Linked DNA regions of Struthio camelus. Each later gene encodes a partner of the first gene's protein in a complex. Links are inferred from orthologs where the notes say so. Each region holds a gene or a part of one and is shown on either strand. Other genes may lie near its edges. The genes, in order: KCNQ1 and KCNE3.

Evidence for each region.
Region 2: the proteins of KCNQ1 (region 1) and KCNE3 are in contact, whole or in part, in a cryo-EM structure (PDB 6V01), measured with the Homo sapiens proteins. The link is inferred for Struthio camelus from reciprocal best matches to the Homo sapiens genes KCNQ1 and KCNE3. Residues at the interface, in NP_000209.2 of Homo sapiens: Arg116, Pro117, Thr118, Gly119, Trp120, Cys122, Phe123, His126, Phe127, Phe130, Leu134, Leu137, Ile138, Val141, Leu142, Ile145, Gln147, Tyr148, Arg181, Met238, Val241, Asp242, Gln244, Thr247, Lys362, Asn365, Ile368; in NP_005463.1 of Homo sapiens: Asp54, Asp55, Asn56, Ser57, Tyr58, Ile61, Met65, Phe68, Ala69, Val72, Gly73, Leu75, Ile76, Leu77, Tyr79, Thr80, Arg81, Ser82, Arg83, Val85, Lys87, Asp90.

The regions. Positions count from the first base shown.
Region 1 is NC_090946.1:18,681,271-18,688,535, forward strand, and holds the start of KCNQ1 (potassium voltage-gated channel subfamily KQT member 1), read left to right. Parts: upstream 1-4,131; 5' UTR 4,132-4,188; coding exon 4,189-4,592; intron 4,593-7,265. UniProt on the Homo sapiens protein: Pore-forming subunit of the voltage-gated potassium (Kv) channel involved in the regulation of cardiomyocyte excitability and important in normal development and functions of myocardium, inner ear, stomach and colon.
Region 2 is NC_090942.1:223,401,330-223,408,913, reverse strand, and holds KCNE3 (potassium voltage-gated channel subfamily E member 3), read right to left. Parts: upstream 2,954-7,584; 5' UTR 2,919-2,953; coding exon 2,863-2,918; exon of another isoform or gene 2,741-2,862; intron 2,358-2,740; coding exon 2,042-2,357; 3' UTR 742-2,041; downstream 1-741. Other genes in the region: LIPT2 (octanoyl-[acyl-carrier-protein]:protein N-octanoyltransferase LIPT2, mitochondrial), read right to left, coding at 4,692-4,924, 7,195-7,584. UniProt on the Homo sapiens protein: Ancillary protein that functions as a regulatory subunit of the voltage-gated potassium (Kv) channel complex composed of pore-forming and potassium-conducting alpha subunits and of regulatory beta subunits.

The DNA.
Region 1 (7,265 bases):
AAGCATGAACGTATTCAAGAGCCTGTAACAAAGATTTTGCTTACATTTAAAAATTGTTGTGAAGCCAGTATAAAAGCATACCAGTCGGATATTAACAGATCATGATCAATTTAAAAGAAAGGTAAATAAGATTACTAAGGTATCCAATGAAAAATCCATATAGGTACTCAGGTAACTGTTCTTAGTTACAACTTGATGAATGAATCAAAACTTTTCTATAATATTTCTCTCCCATCTCCCTATTGAAAAGGCTAAGCCATAGTCTTCCCAGGATTTCAGAAATGAAGTAAACACTTCTCTCCCTTTCCTGTCTCCTTACCTCTGCTCTGATTCATAAGACTGAGGTTTATTTGTTCAAGTTGTTATTGTCATGTTTTCAAGCTTTTCTCTGTGTCTGAGACTTAGATACTTACTTGTTTTGCAGTTGTCAATAGGAATTTTTAAAGTAATGACATGACTCTGTGAGCAGAACTTCTTCATTAAAATAGAGAATATTTCAAAAGTTATTATACCATAACTGCCATATGAAAGTATTTAAACAATCTAGGACTTAATTCTCGGTTCAGTATTGAGTCACTTTATCTACACCATTGGCTGAGTTTTTAAAATGATCTGTTAACTGGTTAAACTGTGGACTCTTCAGGAAATGGAATTCAACAAAATATTTGCTCTAATTCAAGCAAAATGATCTGAAAATTAAAAAACAAAAAGAACTTCTGCCTCTCCTTGAAAAATGTTCTTTACCTCTATCATCACCCATTCTCTAGCTAGGCAGAAACAGGAAGTAGTATAAAAAAACAAACCACCCCCCCCAAAGTAATCTTACAGCAAGCAATAGACAAAACACATGATTTCCATATCAGCCAAGAATTCAGTGCAACCAATAATTGCAACATAAGTGTTAATGGCTTTTAGCATATATAGATAATGCTCAGATTCTTTCAGTTTAAGTCTTTGATTCCATAGGGAAGTAATAACATAAAAGATCAAAGTGTCTCTTTATAACTTGCTGCACCACTTACAAACATTCAGCAGTGATAAAAGTTATGACTTTGCCATTTTATCTTACACAGTACTTATAAAAATGACTGAACAAAACAAAAAGACAACATATAATGAACATATGTAACAAAGCATAGATAATAAAGGACATAACTGGAGATGGGATAAAGAAATACAGACCTGAGGTGGAACAAACACTTCGGATCTACTCTAGCCCAATGGTGGGATTCTCAGAAATGCTTTACTAGTCCTATCCCATGTAATGACTGCTGTTGGGAGCGTTACCATCAGCTTCACGGGTAGCACCATCAGACTTCAGTGGCTGACTACACACCAGGTCTCATTTCTAGAAGCAGCAGCATCGTAAAAATGTAAAAATTAAACACCGTACTTGCAAAGAATGAAGTAATAAATATCACACCATTATTCCTCTTGCTACAGTTTCTTAAACACTTACAATAGACTAAATCATGATTTTTTTCTAAGAAACAACTCAGTGTATAGTTCCACCTTAATATTTAATACCCTGTATCCTCCTTATTAATCCTCCTGTATTTGCCTAGTCTCTTCACTATCAAAGCACTGATATCTGGCTCAGTAAACATTTTTTTAATGCTCATCCACCTCCTCTTTCCATTCTTAACTCTTCTATGTATACACCATACTCATTGGATTTTTTTCTCTTCTTCCATTTAAATAATTACTGTTTTGTAAAATGTATATATTTTAATATCAAGATGTGGGTTAATATCAAGACTGTTCTTAATGGGAAAAACAGGAATTAACATTAGCATGTTAAAGAATTAATCTTGAAAATGCTGCAAGTTATCATATAGTTTTGGTATTTAATATATAATGAAGACAAATATTCTTGTATTCTCAGCACTAATTCTTCATCCCTTTGATGTTTTTATTTAAGTATGCAATTGGCTTTTACCTATGCCAGATAGGCATGTTATTATTCACTGACATGAACTAGTTGGGAATGTTCAGAAAAAAATGATTCTTACCAAATAAAATCAACTTCACTATCCATCAGTAATATATTAAAAAATAGTGGATTTTGATGAAATCCTTGATTCTAGTGAAAAGAGGTGTAGATACTGCCTGAATGCTCATTTTAAATATTTTCAAACTGAAAATTCATTTATTTGTTATGATTCTTTGAAAAATGTAATTAAAATTAGAAGTCCAACTCAAAACATTATAAAAGTTTTTCTGATATGAAAACAATTCAAAATATTGGGCCATGGAAAATATTTTAGACTTTTCTTGTTTTGCAGTAAGAAAATTATTGAAACAAACTTGGGTTATTTGGAACAGTTTCTCATTGACCACTGAGGACCAAATGCAGCGCTTAACAATTTACTTTCCTGCTTAGCTATTTAAGTACACAGTACTTACTCTAACTTTTCTTATGGAAGTAAATTGTATACGTCATGCAAAAATTCCATTTTTTTCATTTCAGGTGTTTTGGGATTTCTATTCTCTGTTTTGTTAAGCAAAGTATAAAAAAACCCGTAATGCCACAATTTTTATAAAAAATTTTGAAAACATTTTTGAGGAACACCACAATCTACTTAAACATAGCCTCTTATTATTTTGCTAAACTCTTTTAAGTTTTGCACCTGGCTCCAGGATAAGTTCTGTACAGACAAGAGGTGAGTCTTTAAAATAAAACACTTACATAAGGAAACACATTTGTTAACTTTGATATCGAGACTTAATCAGGCTAGTCCTCAAATGACAAGCCTTCAAGGCTAGCAAAGGCTTTCTTCCTTTGGTCATTTTTCTTGCAGGTTTATTGCCAGAAGGAGTCATTAGTTTGTGGCTCTCCTCTATTCAAGCGGCTAGCCACCCCACTCAAAGATTCACGGCGATGCCCCTTTTGGTTGCCAAACAGATTGTAATCTGAGGTGAGCGGAGTCACTGCGACTACTGCAGGAGGTAGGTTTCCTCTGCAGATAGGATAGGCAGCGTGTCTTTACCAAGAGGGAGAAGCTGTTTCTGAACCACTAACAAGGTCTTTTGACTGGTGGTCCTTGAGTGAAAGCCTAAACGCTCTCTTCTCTGAGACTGGAGGCCCGACGCTAAAAACCAACTAAAACGCAGACAAGAAACCGAAGGGTTCTGGCTCAGGGGCAAGCGCTGGGCTACGCTCGCTGCAGCTCCCAGCATCCCACGGCCAGGAGTCAAGCTCCCTCCTGAAGGTGGAGGTTTATCTCTTGCTGAGGTGTTCCCAGAGTCTCCACCAGGCTGTTTCATTAAGCTAGCTCCTCCATCTTGCTCTGATGGGGTGGGTGGGGGGGTTAAATCCTTATGACTTAAAAACAAGTGTTGCGAATTCTCTTTTTACCCCTTTTGCTTTCCCAACAAGTGGCCACCTTCTTCACAGGTGTGAATCAACCCTGTGTCGGAGCCGACAGCCCCGCTCGGGCTCAGGCCCGCTAGCGCAGGGGCCTGTGCGGCGCCCGGGGCCTCCCTCACAGCCTAGCCTCTGCCTGCAGCTGCAGCGGGCAGCCTTGCTTGGGTTCAGCTTTATTTAGCACCTTATCTTCCCGCAGCATTCTTGCACCCCTGAACAACTCCACCTCGCTCCTAAGAGTCCTGTTCTATTTTGGGCTAGAAGAGAGAGGCGTGTGGGGGGGGGGGGGGGATAAATAAATGAAAAAAAAAGCTCTCCACATCAAAGGCGACCCCTTCCCTTAAGCTCTGGGAAGAGAAACTTGTTAACTAACTGTTGCAGCAAAGGTTCTTACTACCGTGACAAACTGATTCACGCCACAGCTACCTGAGCCCTAACTTAAAAAAACAGGACGTTGGCCCGAGCCCTCCAAACGGCCTGAGGAGGCGGCGAGCGGCCGGCCGAGCGCACGCCCCCTTCCACCTGGCCTTGTGTCAGACCCAACCTCTGCAGCAGCGAGGAAGAACTATATATATATTTATATAACGTATGTATAATTGTTTTACAGCTCACCGAGTCACTCGGCGACCTGCGCCCGCCCAAGGGCAGCGGCTCCCTCACAGCCGGGGCCGCCCCGCGCCGCTGCCCCTCACCTTTCCCGGCCGGGAGCCGCCCCGCAGGGGGCCGGGCCAGCGGCGGCGGGAGGGCGCTGGGTGCCGGTCCGCCGCTCGGCAGGGCAGCGAGGCGAGCCGAGCCGAGCCGGTACCGGTAGTGCCGCTGCCATGTCGTCCAGCTCCCCGCCGGCCGAGCAGAAGGCGCGCAGCCTGGGCCGGCTGTCGCTGCCCAGGAAGGGCAGCATGACGCTCGGCAAGAAGCCCTCGGGGCTGGAGCTGGCTGAGAGCGTCCCTCACGCCCGCTATGCCCCCATCCAGGGCGGGCAGCAGCAGCAGCAGCCGCCGGGCTGCAGCGCCGAGCCCCAGCGGGAGCGGCCGCGGCGCCTGAGGAGCGAGGCGGCGGCGGCGGCGGTGAACGCCGACGGCCCGCGGCCGCCCGTCAGCCTCGACCCGCGCGTCTCCATCTACAGCCTCCGCAAGCCCCTGCTGAGCCGCAGCAACATCCAGGGCCGCGTCTACAACTTCTTGGAGCGCCCCACGGGCTGGAAGTGCTTCGTCTACCACTTCACCGTGTGAGTACCGCGGCCGCCGCGCGCCCGGGCGGCCGCTAACGGCCGTTAACGGCCGCTCGCCCTGTCAGCGCGGCGGCGGCCGGCGTGAGGGGGCAGCCGGGTTTCCCGCCTTTCCCCTGGTCGCCGTTTCCCGAGCTAACGCCGAGCTCTGCTGGGCGGGCTGCGCCCTGCAGGTGTTTCGCCCGGGGCGGGGGGAACCCTTCGCGGTCAGCGGGCGAGCGGACCCGAGAAAAGCCCCTTTTGCTTGAGACGGGGAGGCTGTGTTCCGGGGGCGCAGCGTGGCGGGTTGGGCGTACAAGAGAAGAGCCCAGGCTGGCTGAAATCGCTTGTCCTAGAAGATCGTCCTCGGAGCTGGCCGAAGTTGGTCCGTTGCAGGTGCGCAGTCGAAGCAGGTAGTCGCTTGGCGGCTTGTCCTCCGGTAAATGCAGTGCACCGGTTCCCGGCTTTTCGGCGCGTTGCGTCGCTCCCCTGCTCCGCGGGGCAGGTGTGTCGTTAGCGTGTCAGCCCTCTCGGAGGGAGGCAAGAGGTAGGTGTAGCGTTGTGGCACTCCGCGCTTTTTTTTTTCCTTGCCTTTTTTGATGCTCCTTGTTCGACTTTCCTACGGGGAAGGAAGGCCATCGCTGTTATTTTTGCCCCCCCCCCCCCCAAAAAAAAAAAAAAAAGCGGGGGGGGTGACGTTTGGAGGATGTTACGCGATATTCAGTATGGAGCACTGTGTCCGTCCTGAACCAACACAGGGTACGTCTGTTCTGCTCTTCCGGAGGATCTTAAAGAGTGCGTCCGTGAAGAATTAATGCGTCTTAATCTAGATGTTGTGGAAGATTTGCGGGACCCTTGAGCACTTTGTAAGTACTAAGCGTAGAGAATAAGATGAGGAAGTGCAGTACCTGCATAAATCTATTTATTGTATGCATATGCACACACACAGGCATACATATACACACACATACGTGTATATTTAATACAGCAGCTGGAGGCTAAGGTGTTTTATGGGCCAAGACCTACGACAAAAGACTTGGTTAAAATTCGATTCTAATGCTCTAGTCATTGTGTTCCGATTTTAATTCTAAGTAATTAGTATGTTAAGTAGATTGAGGGTTGTGGGCCTATTTTCCACGTGTGAGGATCCTGGAGCCTTTAGGTAGACAGGTAAGTGGTACCAAATTTGTTTTAGTCAGGGAAAAACAGCTATCATCAGAATGTGTTTAAGTGTGGAGCTGCTAAGATAATTGTGGGTTCCACTGTATTTAACATTATGACAATGCCATTAGATGACAAAACAGCTAATGGCCGTAATTTTAAAAAGTGTATAATAGTTGTGGGTGAATAATATAAAACACTCTTAGGAATTGGAGTTCTTTATTTTCTAAAAAGGAGGGAAAAAAAAAAAACTTTGAGGCAGCTATCCTGCATGATATCTGACCTCTTTCAGGTGCCTCAAGTTTTTTGTAGAAGGGACAGTAAATAGTCTTGCATATCTTAGCTAATTTTCTCTAAATCTTAACAGTGGGCGTAGGAAAAAGTACTGACAGCAGAAACTGTGGCGAGGTGTGTCTTGGGGTAAGAGCTTTCATTGACATCGCCCAGTTGGATCCATCTATCTAACAGAATCTGACCTGAATTTTGACTTAAAATCTTTTTTTTTTTTTTTTCCAGGTAGTTAACAGTGAGAATTAAGATTCGGTAATTCTGCTCTAGGAAAGAGATTGTAACATGTACAAGCAGTTACTGCCTCTTTTCCCCCAATGCACGCTTATCTGAGGTGAAGCATTAGCCCCAGTGCTTGCCAGCTTTCCAGAGCAGCTCTTTTGATGCAGTGGTGAATGACAGAGGTACTGAATGTTCTCAAGGCTGTTATTATGCATTGTGCAAATTCCTTGTCAGAGGACAGAAGGAGGTACTACCACCCCTATACATTTCTTACAGGGCAATCGGTAAGTGCCATCTGTATTTTTAGGCAGCCCCGTTCTGATTTCTGCCAGCAGAGGGAGTTGAGTTTGTAACTTCCACAGCCATCCTAACCTCTCCCTGTTTCTGTGGTAGACGGGCTCCCACTTTGTGCCCTTGCTGGTAATCTTTTTGGTTATTGATCTTTGGTATATACCCCTCCAACTCTTTCTTGCTTTCTGAGCTCCCACAGCAAGCTCCTGGGATGCTTGTTTTCCACTTGACCAGGAGATCCTCTCTTTGACTACTGCCTCTGCCAGTCACATGTTGAGCGTTGGTAGCCTAATGTTTGCTACTAAGATGGAGGAAAAAAGTGAAGCTATTCCTTCAAAACCCAGAAGTTCAGCAAGAAAAGTAATGGAAAAGACAGACAGTTGTTCTGATCCAGAGAAGCTGCTGTTTTATTTCAGCCTGTACTTTGGAGGAGGCATGAGACCTGATTTTTTGCATGCGGTTTTCTGGCTTTTTGCAAGCATTTGGTTACTAATGGTGAGCTGAAGAGCTAAAAAGAAGTCAGTTACCTGTGTTGGGTACTGTCTAATTTTCTTTTTATAAGTCCTCCGCCATCATGTTTGCGCTTTTCTCCCCCTAGAAGAAGTAACTTGACTGCTTTGTTTTTAGCATACAAACCAGCGTTCATGGAGAGCTAAGCTAGGTTTTGCCTTCTCACATCCAAGATCGTGATGGTTGTCTCATTTGCCAGAATGAGGCCAGAAGACCGACTTT
Region 2 (7,584 bases), on another chromosome or scaffold:
CACCGCCCCGTTCTCCCCCCGTTCCCGCACCCCTGTTCCCACCCGCCTGTTCCTGCATCCCTGTTTTCACCCCCCCATTCTCTCAGCTGTTCCTGCATCCCCGTTCCCGCACCCCCGTTCCCACACCCCCATTCCCCTGTTCCCCCCATTGCCGCACCCCTGTTCCCACACCCCCGTTCCTACCCCCGTTCTCCCCCCGTTCCCGCACCCCCTTTCCTGCACCCCTGTTCCCCTGTTCCCATTCCCACACCCCCGTTCCCACACTCCTGTTCCTGCATCCCCGTTCCCACACCCCCCCGTTCCCACCCCCTGCTCCCGCACCCCCATTCCCCTGTTCCCCCCCGTTCCCACCCCCCCATTCCTGCACCCCCCCTCCCGCACCCCCATTCCTGCTTCCCTGTTCCCGCATCCCTGTTTCCGCACCCCCCCGTTCCTGCACCCCCGTTCCCACTCCAGTGCCCCCATCCCCCTTCCTGCACCTCGATTCCCCCCGTTCCTGCACCCCCATTCCCACCCCCCCATTCCCGCACCCCCGTTCCCCCCTGTTCCCGCACCCGTGTTCCCACACCCCCATTCCCCCCGTTTCCACCCCATTCCCGCATCCCCATTCCCGTTCCCCCCCGTTCCCACATCCCCCTTCCAACCCCCCCGTCCCCACACCCCCGTTCCCCCCGTCCCCCCCCCATTCCCACTCCCCCCGCTCCCCCACGCCCCCCAGTTCGCAGCCGCGCTGGAGCCGAGCGGGGGGTTTCGCCGCAGGCGCCGGGAGCCCCGGCAGCTGCCGCCGGGGGACACTGGCACCTCGTCACCCCCCCGGGCCCGGCCCGTTTGGGGAAAAACAGCGGGTTTGGCCATTTTTTTTTGTTTTAAGGCGTGCTCCGCTCCAACAGCACCGCGACCCCCCGATGTCGGGGGGGGATCCCCCAGCTCCCGGCCCTGGGGACCCCCGCGCCGACGCCACGGCTCGTCCGGCTGGAGGAGACGGACGCCTGGGGGATGAACCCCCCCCCCGACCCCGAGCCGAGGGAGCGCGAAACCTCTCCGAGGAGGCGACGGGCACCCAACCTCCTCCGCTTTATTTGCCACTAAAGCTGCCGGAGGGGTTTGTTTGCTTTTCCCAACCGCAAGGCAAACAGGGCGAAGCCTCTCGAATGCCGGGTCAGGAGCGAGGTGGCGGAGCGCCGAGAAACCCCGCCGGCCGGGCTCGGCGACGGCGGCACCTCGGCCGGGCCGCGGGCAGCCCCCGGCCTTTCCCGCCGCCCCGTTTGACGGTCCCGGCCGCTCGGCCAAACGCGTCCAGTTTAATAGCGGAGACGAAGCCGAGGAGGCCGGCAGAGCCCGAGAACGTCCCCTTCCCGGTGGCCGCGCTCGCGGCCGCGAGAAAGAAAAAAAAAAAAAACCCACCTCGGAGACCCGCGGTACAAAAGGGCAAAGCTACAGCCGGCAGCGCAGGAAGGAAGCAGGAAAGACTCCAACATCGCTGTCCCGAGCCCGCCAGGCCTGGGTGAGGGGGGGGACGCGGAGCAGGACGCCTCCGGCCAGGCTTGGGCGATGCTCGGGGCGGGAGCCGGTTCCCGCGCCCGGCGTTGGGGACGTCCCGCTCCGAAAGGCGTTCCCGGGCTCCCCGGCCCAACGTCGTCGGCCCCGTCCCGTCCCCAAACGCCCAGCGCCGCCGACCCCGCGCCTCGCTCGGGGAAGAAGCAGAGCCGACCCGCTCCGGATACCGCCACCTCCTTTAATACCCAGCGGGAAAAGCGGGGTCCAGCCCGGCTCTACAACCACGGCCGTCGGCGCTGAGCTCCCGGCGGCCCGCGCCGTCCCACTGAGCGCAGCAACGATGCTTTTTCCTGTTTTAAAGCCCCCGGCCAGGATCATCGCCGCGCGGACGGTGACCCTGGCCGCTTTCCCACGCCGCTTTCGGCGGGGGGGGGGGCCGAGCTCGACGGCGGCGCGCGGGAAAGCGAGCGTGGAGCCGTCCGCCCGGGCTCAGCGCCGGCCCGAAACCCTGCGGAGCCCCTCGCCGGGGGCGCGCAGCCCGGACTCAGATCATGGACACCCGGTTCTTGATGTAGACGTGGTAGGGATCGCTCCGCTTGTCCACCTTGCGCGACCTGGTGTAGCCTAGGATGAGGCTCCCCACCGTGGCGGCGAAGAGCGTCATGACGAAGAGGATGTACATGTAAGCGTTGTCGTTGCGGCCGGCCTGGCCGGGGCGGCCGCTGGCGTTGAGCGCCGCCGGCCGGTCCGGTCCGCAACGCGCCGCTCCGTGCAGCGTCCGGTTCAGGGTCCTGAGCACGGCGTGCAGGCTCTGGTGCCACGCGGCCGTCCCGTTGCCTTCCTCCATGTCCCGGCCGAGCCTGCGGGGAAGGCGAAGCGGCGTCAGCCGGCCGCGGTACCCCCGCGGCACGGTGCTGAGCGGCCTGAGTTGGATGTCGCGCCCTTCGTTTCCCGGCCCGAACCGAGCTGAACCGGCTTCAAGCGCCGCCGGCTAGCAATAAGCATCGCTCGCGGAGGTTTTTTGTTTTCCCCGGGCGCAAACCCTCGCGGGGTCCCGCACCCCGCCAAGCCCCCCGGGGCACCCCGCCGGGTCTCGCTGCTGTCACCCGCGTCGCCTCGTGCTCGCCCGCCCGCCGGGGACGCGCAGCGGGGAGGGGGCCGCCTCGCTCCCCGCGCCGGCCCATCGCCCCCCGCTCCCGCCTGGCGCGCCCCTCGAAAGCCGGGGGGGGGGGGGACACCAGACCTCGGCGAGGAAGAGGATGGTGCACCCCGGCTGCTTCCTCCGCCGCCTTGGGCCCTGCAGAGTGGATTTTGGGGAGGAGGGAGGGGGGGGTCGGCGGGGCCCCGGGGGGGGGGGTCACTCACCCGCCGCCCTGCCCTGCCCTGCTCGCTGCGGCCGGGCCGAGCCGCCACTGCAGCATCGCGCCCGGGCGCCCGCGGCTGCCGCCGCCGACCGGCCCCCGGCGGGGCAGGGCCGCCGCTGCCTCCTCCCCTTCCCGGCGCCCGCCCCCTCCCAATCCCAGCCCCCCGGGGGGGGGGGTCCTGCTGCTGCCCCGGGGGTCCTGCACCCACCTCGAGGGTCCTGCTGCCGTCCCGGGGGATCCTGCACCCACCTCGGGGGTCCTGCTGCTGCCCCGGGGGTCCTGCTGCCGTCCCGGGGGTCCTGCACCCACCTCGAGGGTCCTGCTGCCGTCCCGGGGGTCCTGCACCCGCTCCGGGGGTCCTGCTGCTGCCCCGGGGGATCCTGCTGCCGTCCCGGGGGATCCTGCACCCACCTCGGGGGTCCTGCTGCCGTCCTGGGGGTCCTGCTGCTGCCCCGGGGGTCCTGCTGCCGTCCCGGGGGTCCTGCACCCACCTCGAGGGTCCTGCTGCCGTCCCGGGGGTCCTGCTGCTGCCCCGGGGGTCCTGCTGCCGTCCCGGGGGATCCTGCACCCACCTCGGGGGTCCTGCTGCCGTCCCGGGGGTCCTGCTGCCGTCCCGGGGGTCCTGCACCCACCTCGGGGGTCCTGCTGCCGTCCCGGGGGTCCTGCACCCGCTCCGGGGGTCCTGCTGCTGCCCCGGGGGATCCTGCACCCACCTCGGGGGTCCTGCTGCCATCCCGGGGGTCCTGCTGCTGCCCCGGGGGTCCTGCTGCCGCCCCGGGGGGTCCTGCTGCTGCCCCGGGGGTCCTGCACCCACCTCGGGGGCCCTGCTGCTGCCCCGGGGGTCCTGCTGCCGTCCCGGGGGATCCTGCACCCACCTCGGGGGTCCTGCTGCCGTCCCAGGGGTCCTGCACCCACCTCGGGGGTCCTGCTGCCGTCCCAGGGGTCCTGCTGCTGCCTCGGGGGCTCCTGCACCCATCCCGGGGGTCCTGCACCCACCCCGGGGGTCCTGCTGCCCCCTTGGGGGTCCTGTACCCGCCCCGGGGGTCCTGCTGCTGCCCCGGGGGTCCTGCTGCTGTCCTGGGGGGTCCTGCACCCACCTCGGGGATCCTGTTCCTGCCTCGGGGGTCTGGCACCAACCCGGGGGTCCCACTGCTGCCCCAGGGGTCCTGCTGCCCCCCCCAGGGGGTCCACCCACCCCCGGGGGGGTCCAGCTGCCACCCCGGGGGTCCTGCTGCTGCTCCGGGGGGTCCTGCCCCCACCCCGGGGATCCCACCCAGGTGGGTCCCACTCCCACCCTGGTGATCCCGCTGCCTCCCTGCACCGTCCGGCTCCCACCCCGGGGGTCCCACTGCCTCCCCACAGGGTCCCCGGCGGCCGCCGCTCGAGGCAAAGGGGGCTTTGGGGAGCCGCCGTCCCGGCCGCCTCCCGGCGCGCCTTGGAGGGCGCGAGCCAACACGGCAGCGAGCGGCGCCCGGCGCCTCTCCGGCTCTAAAACCCGCTGAGGCGGGCGGCGAAGGACGCCGAACGAAGAGGGACGGGGCGGAAAGCGGCGCCCCTCCGGCACGTCTCCGCTGCCGCGCCGGGCAGGGGCGCGCAAGAAGCGCGCGAGGGCTCGTCGGAGCGTTTCGGCAGCCGACGCGACCGAGACGCCCGACGTCCCAAAGCGCCGCCGCGGCTACCGGCTCCCTCGCCGGCCGGACAGAGCAGGGAATCGCGCGGCCGCGCACCGGCGCCGTTAACAAAACCAGACCACGGGCCAGCGGATGTCACGTAAATATTTAACGAACGTCTCCGGCGGGCACCAAGTCTCCGCCGCGTGCCGGCCCGCCGCTAGCACGCCGCCTCCTCCGCGAAGACCAAGGTGCAGTCGAAAACCTCCTGGAAGGCGTCGAGGAAGGGCTCGAGGACGTCGGCGACGGCCACGGGCCGGCCCAGCTCGCGGCTCAGCGACGTGACGCCCTTGCCCTCCAGGCCGCAGGGCACGATGTGCTCGAACCACGTCAGGTCCGTGCAGCAGTTGAGCGCCAGCCCGTGCGACGTGATGTAGTTGCCGCAGTGGACGCCTGCGCGGCGGCCGACAGCGCCCGCCCGTCAGCCCGGCGTCGGGCCAAGAGGAGCCGCCAGGGTGGGGGCAGCACCCAGGGGACCCCAGGGTGCAGGACTCATGCTAAGGGTGCAGGGCCTGGGGCCGAGGGTGCAATGGGGCCCCGGGGTGCAGGGTCGGGGGCCGAGGGTGCAAGGGGGCCCCGGGTGCAAGGGGGCACTGGGGTGCAGGGTCGGGGGCCGAGCGTGCAGGGGGGCCCGGGGTGCAGGGTCGGGGGCCGAGGGTGCAAGGGGGCCCCGGGTGCAAAGGGGCCCCGGGGTGCAGGGCCTGGGGCCAAGGGTGCAAGGGGGCCCCGGGTGCAAGGGGGCCCTGGGGTGCAGGGGGGCCCCGGGTGCAAGGGGGCCCTGGGGTGCAGGGTCGGGGGCCGAGGGTGCAAGGGGGCCCTGGGGTGCAGGGTCAGGGGCCGAGGGTGCAAAGGGGGCCCCAGGGGGCAGAGGCAGGGGCCGAGGGTGCAAGGGGGCCCTGGGGTGCAGGGTCAGGGGCCGAGGGTGCAAGGGGGCCCTGGGGTGCAGGGTCGGGGGCCGAGGGTGCAAGGGGGCCCCGGGTGCAAGGGGGCACTGGGGTGCAGGGTCGGGGGCCAAGGGTGCAGGGGGGCCCGGGTGCAAAGGGGCCCCGGGGTGCAGGGCCTGGGGCCAAGGGTGCAAGGGGGCCCCGGGTGCAAGGGGGCCCTGGGCCGAGGGTGCAAGGGGGCCCCGGGGTGCAGGGCCTGGGGCCGAGAGTGCAAGGACAGCCTGGGGTGCAGGGTCGGGGGCCGAGGGTGCAAAGGGGGTCCCGGGGTGCAGGGTCGGGGGCCGAGGGTGCAGGGGGTCCCGGGGTGCAGGATGCAACCCCCCCCATGCATGCCCTCCCTGAGAATGCTCCCCTGACCCGGTGCAATTCCCACGCCCCCATGCACACTCCCCCCGCCGCTGCAACCCCCCCCGTGCACGCTGCCCCCCACCCCTGCTGCAACCCCCCCTCCCCACTGCAATCCCCCCTCCCCCTGCACGCTGCCCCCCGGTGCAACCCCCCCCTCCCCGCTGCAACCCCCCTCCCTGTACACGCTCCCCCCCCGCTGCAACCCCCCCTTCCCCTGCCCCCCGCACCTGCTGCAACCCCCCTCCCCGCTGTAATCCCCCGTCCCCGTGCACGCTGCCCCCCCGCTGCAACCCCCCCCGTGCACGCTCCCCCCGCTGCAACCCCCCCCGTGCTGCAACCCCCCCGTGCACGCTCCCCCCGCCCCTGCTGCTGCAACCCCCCCATACACGCTCCCCCACCGCTGCAACCCCCCCCTCCCCGCGCACGCTGCCCCGCACTGCAACCCCCCCATACACGCTTCCCCCCCGCTGCAACCCCCCCCTCCCCGCGCACGCTGCCCCGCACTGCAACCCCCCCATACACGCTTCCCCCCCGCTGCAACCCCCCTCCCCGTGCACGCTGCCCCCCCGCTGCAACCCCCCCTCCCCGTGCACGCTCCCCCCCTGCTGCAACCCCCCGTTCCCATGCACGCTTCCCCCCCGCTGCCACCCCCCGTCCCCGTGAACGCTGCCCCCCCTGCTGCAACCCCCCCGTGCACGCTCCCCCCCGCTGCAACCCCCCCCATACACACTCCCCCCCTGCTGCAACCCCCCCGTGCACGCTCCCCCCCGCTGCAACCCCCCCCATACACACTCCCCCCCTGCTGCAACCCCCCGTTCCCATGCACGCTCCCCCCCCGCTGCAACCCCCCCGTGCACGCTCCCCCCCCGCTGCAACCCCCCGTCCCCGTGCACGCTCCCCCCCCGCTGCAACCCCCCCGTGCACGCTCCCCCCCTGCTGCAACTCCCCGTCCCCGTGCACGCTCCCCCCCCGCTGCAACCCCCCCATACACGCTCCCCCCCTGCTGCAACCCCCCCTCCCCGTGCACGCTCCCCCCCTGCTGCAACCCCCCGTTCCCATGCACGCTGCCCCCCCACTGCAACCCCCCTCCCCGTGCACGCTGCCCCCCCACTGCAACCCCCCCTCCCCGTGCACGCTCCCCCCCCGCTGCAACCCCCCGTTCCCATGCACGCTCCCCCCCCGCTGCAACCCCCCCGTCCCCGTGCACGCTGCCCCCCCTGCTGCAACCCCCCCGTGCACGCTCCCCCCCGCTGCAACCCCCCCCATACACACTCCCCCCCTGCTGCAACCCCCCGTCCCCGTCCCCGTGCACGCTCCCCCCCCGCTGCAACCCCCCCGTGCACGCTCCCCCCCCCCGCCGCCGGCGCTCACCGATGGCGCAGAGCTTGCTGTCGCCGAGCCAGACGCCGGTGCAGGGCGGCGGGAGGGCGCGGGCGGCCGGCAGGCCGAGGCGGCGGCAGAGCGCCAGCGCCGCCGCCTCCAGCGCCGCCACGTAGCCCCGCAGCGGCAGGCGGCGGCGGCGCAGGTCGAGCACGGGGAAAGCGAGCAGCTGGCCGGGCCCGTGGAAGGTGAGGAGCCCGCCGCGCCGCGCCGCCGCCAGCTCCGCGCCCCGCGCCCGCAGCCGCGCCGCCTCGGCCGCCGCCGGCGCCCCGCGCAGCCCCCACGCGTACACGGGCGCCGCCGGCTCGCTCAGCACCAGCCCCTCGCCGGCCGCCGCCCGCGCCGCCGCCACGCACCGCTCCTGCGCCCGCAGCGCCTCGC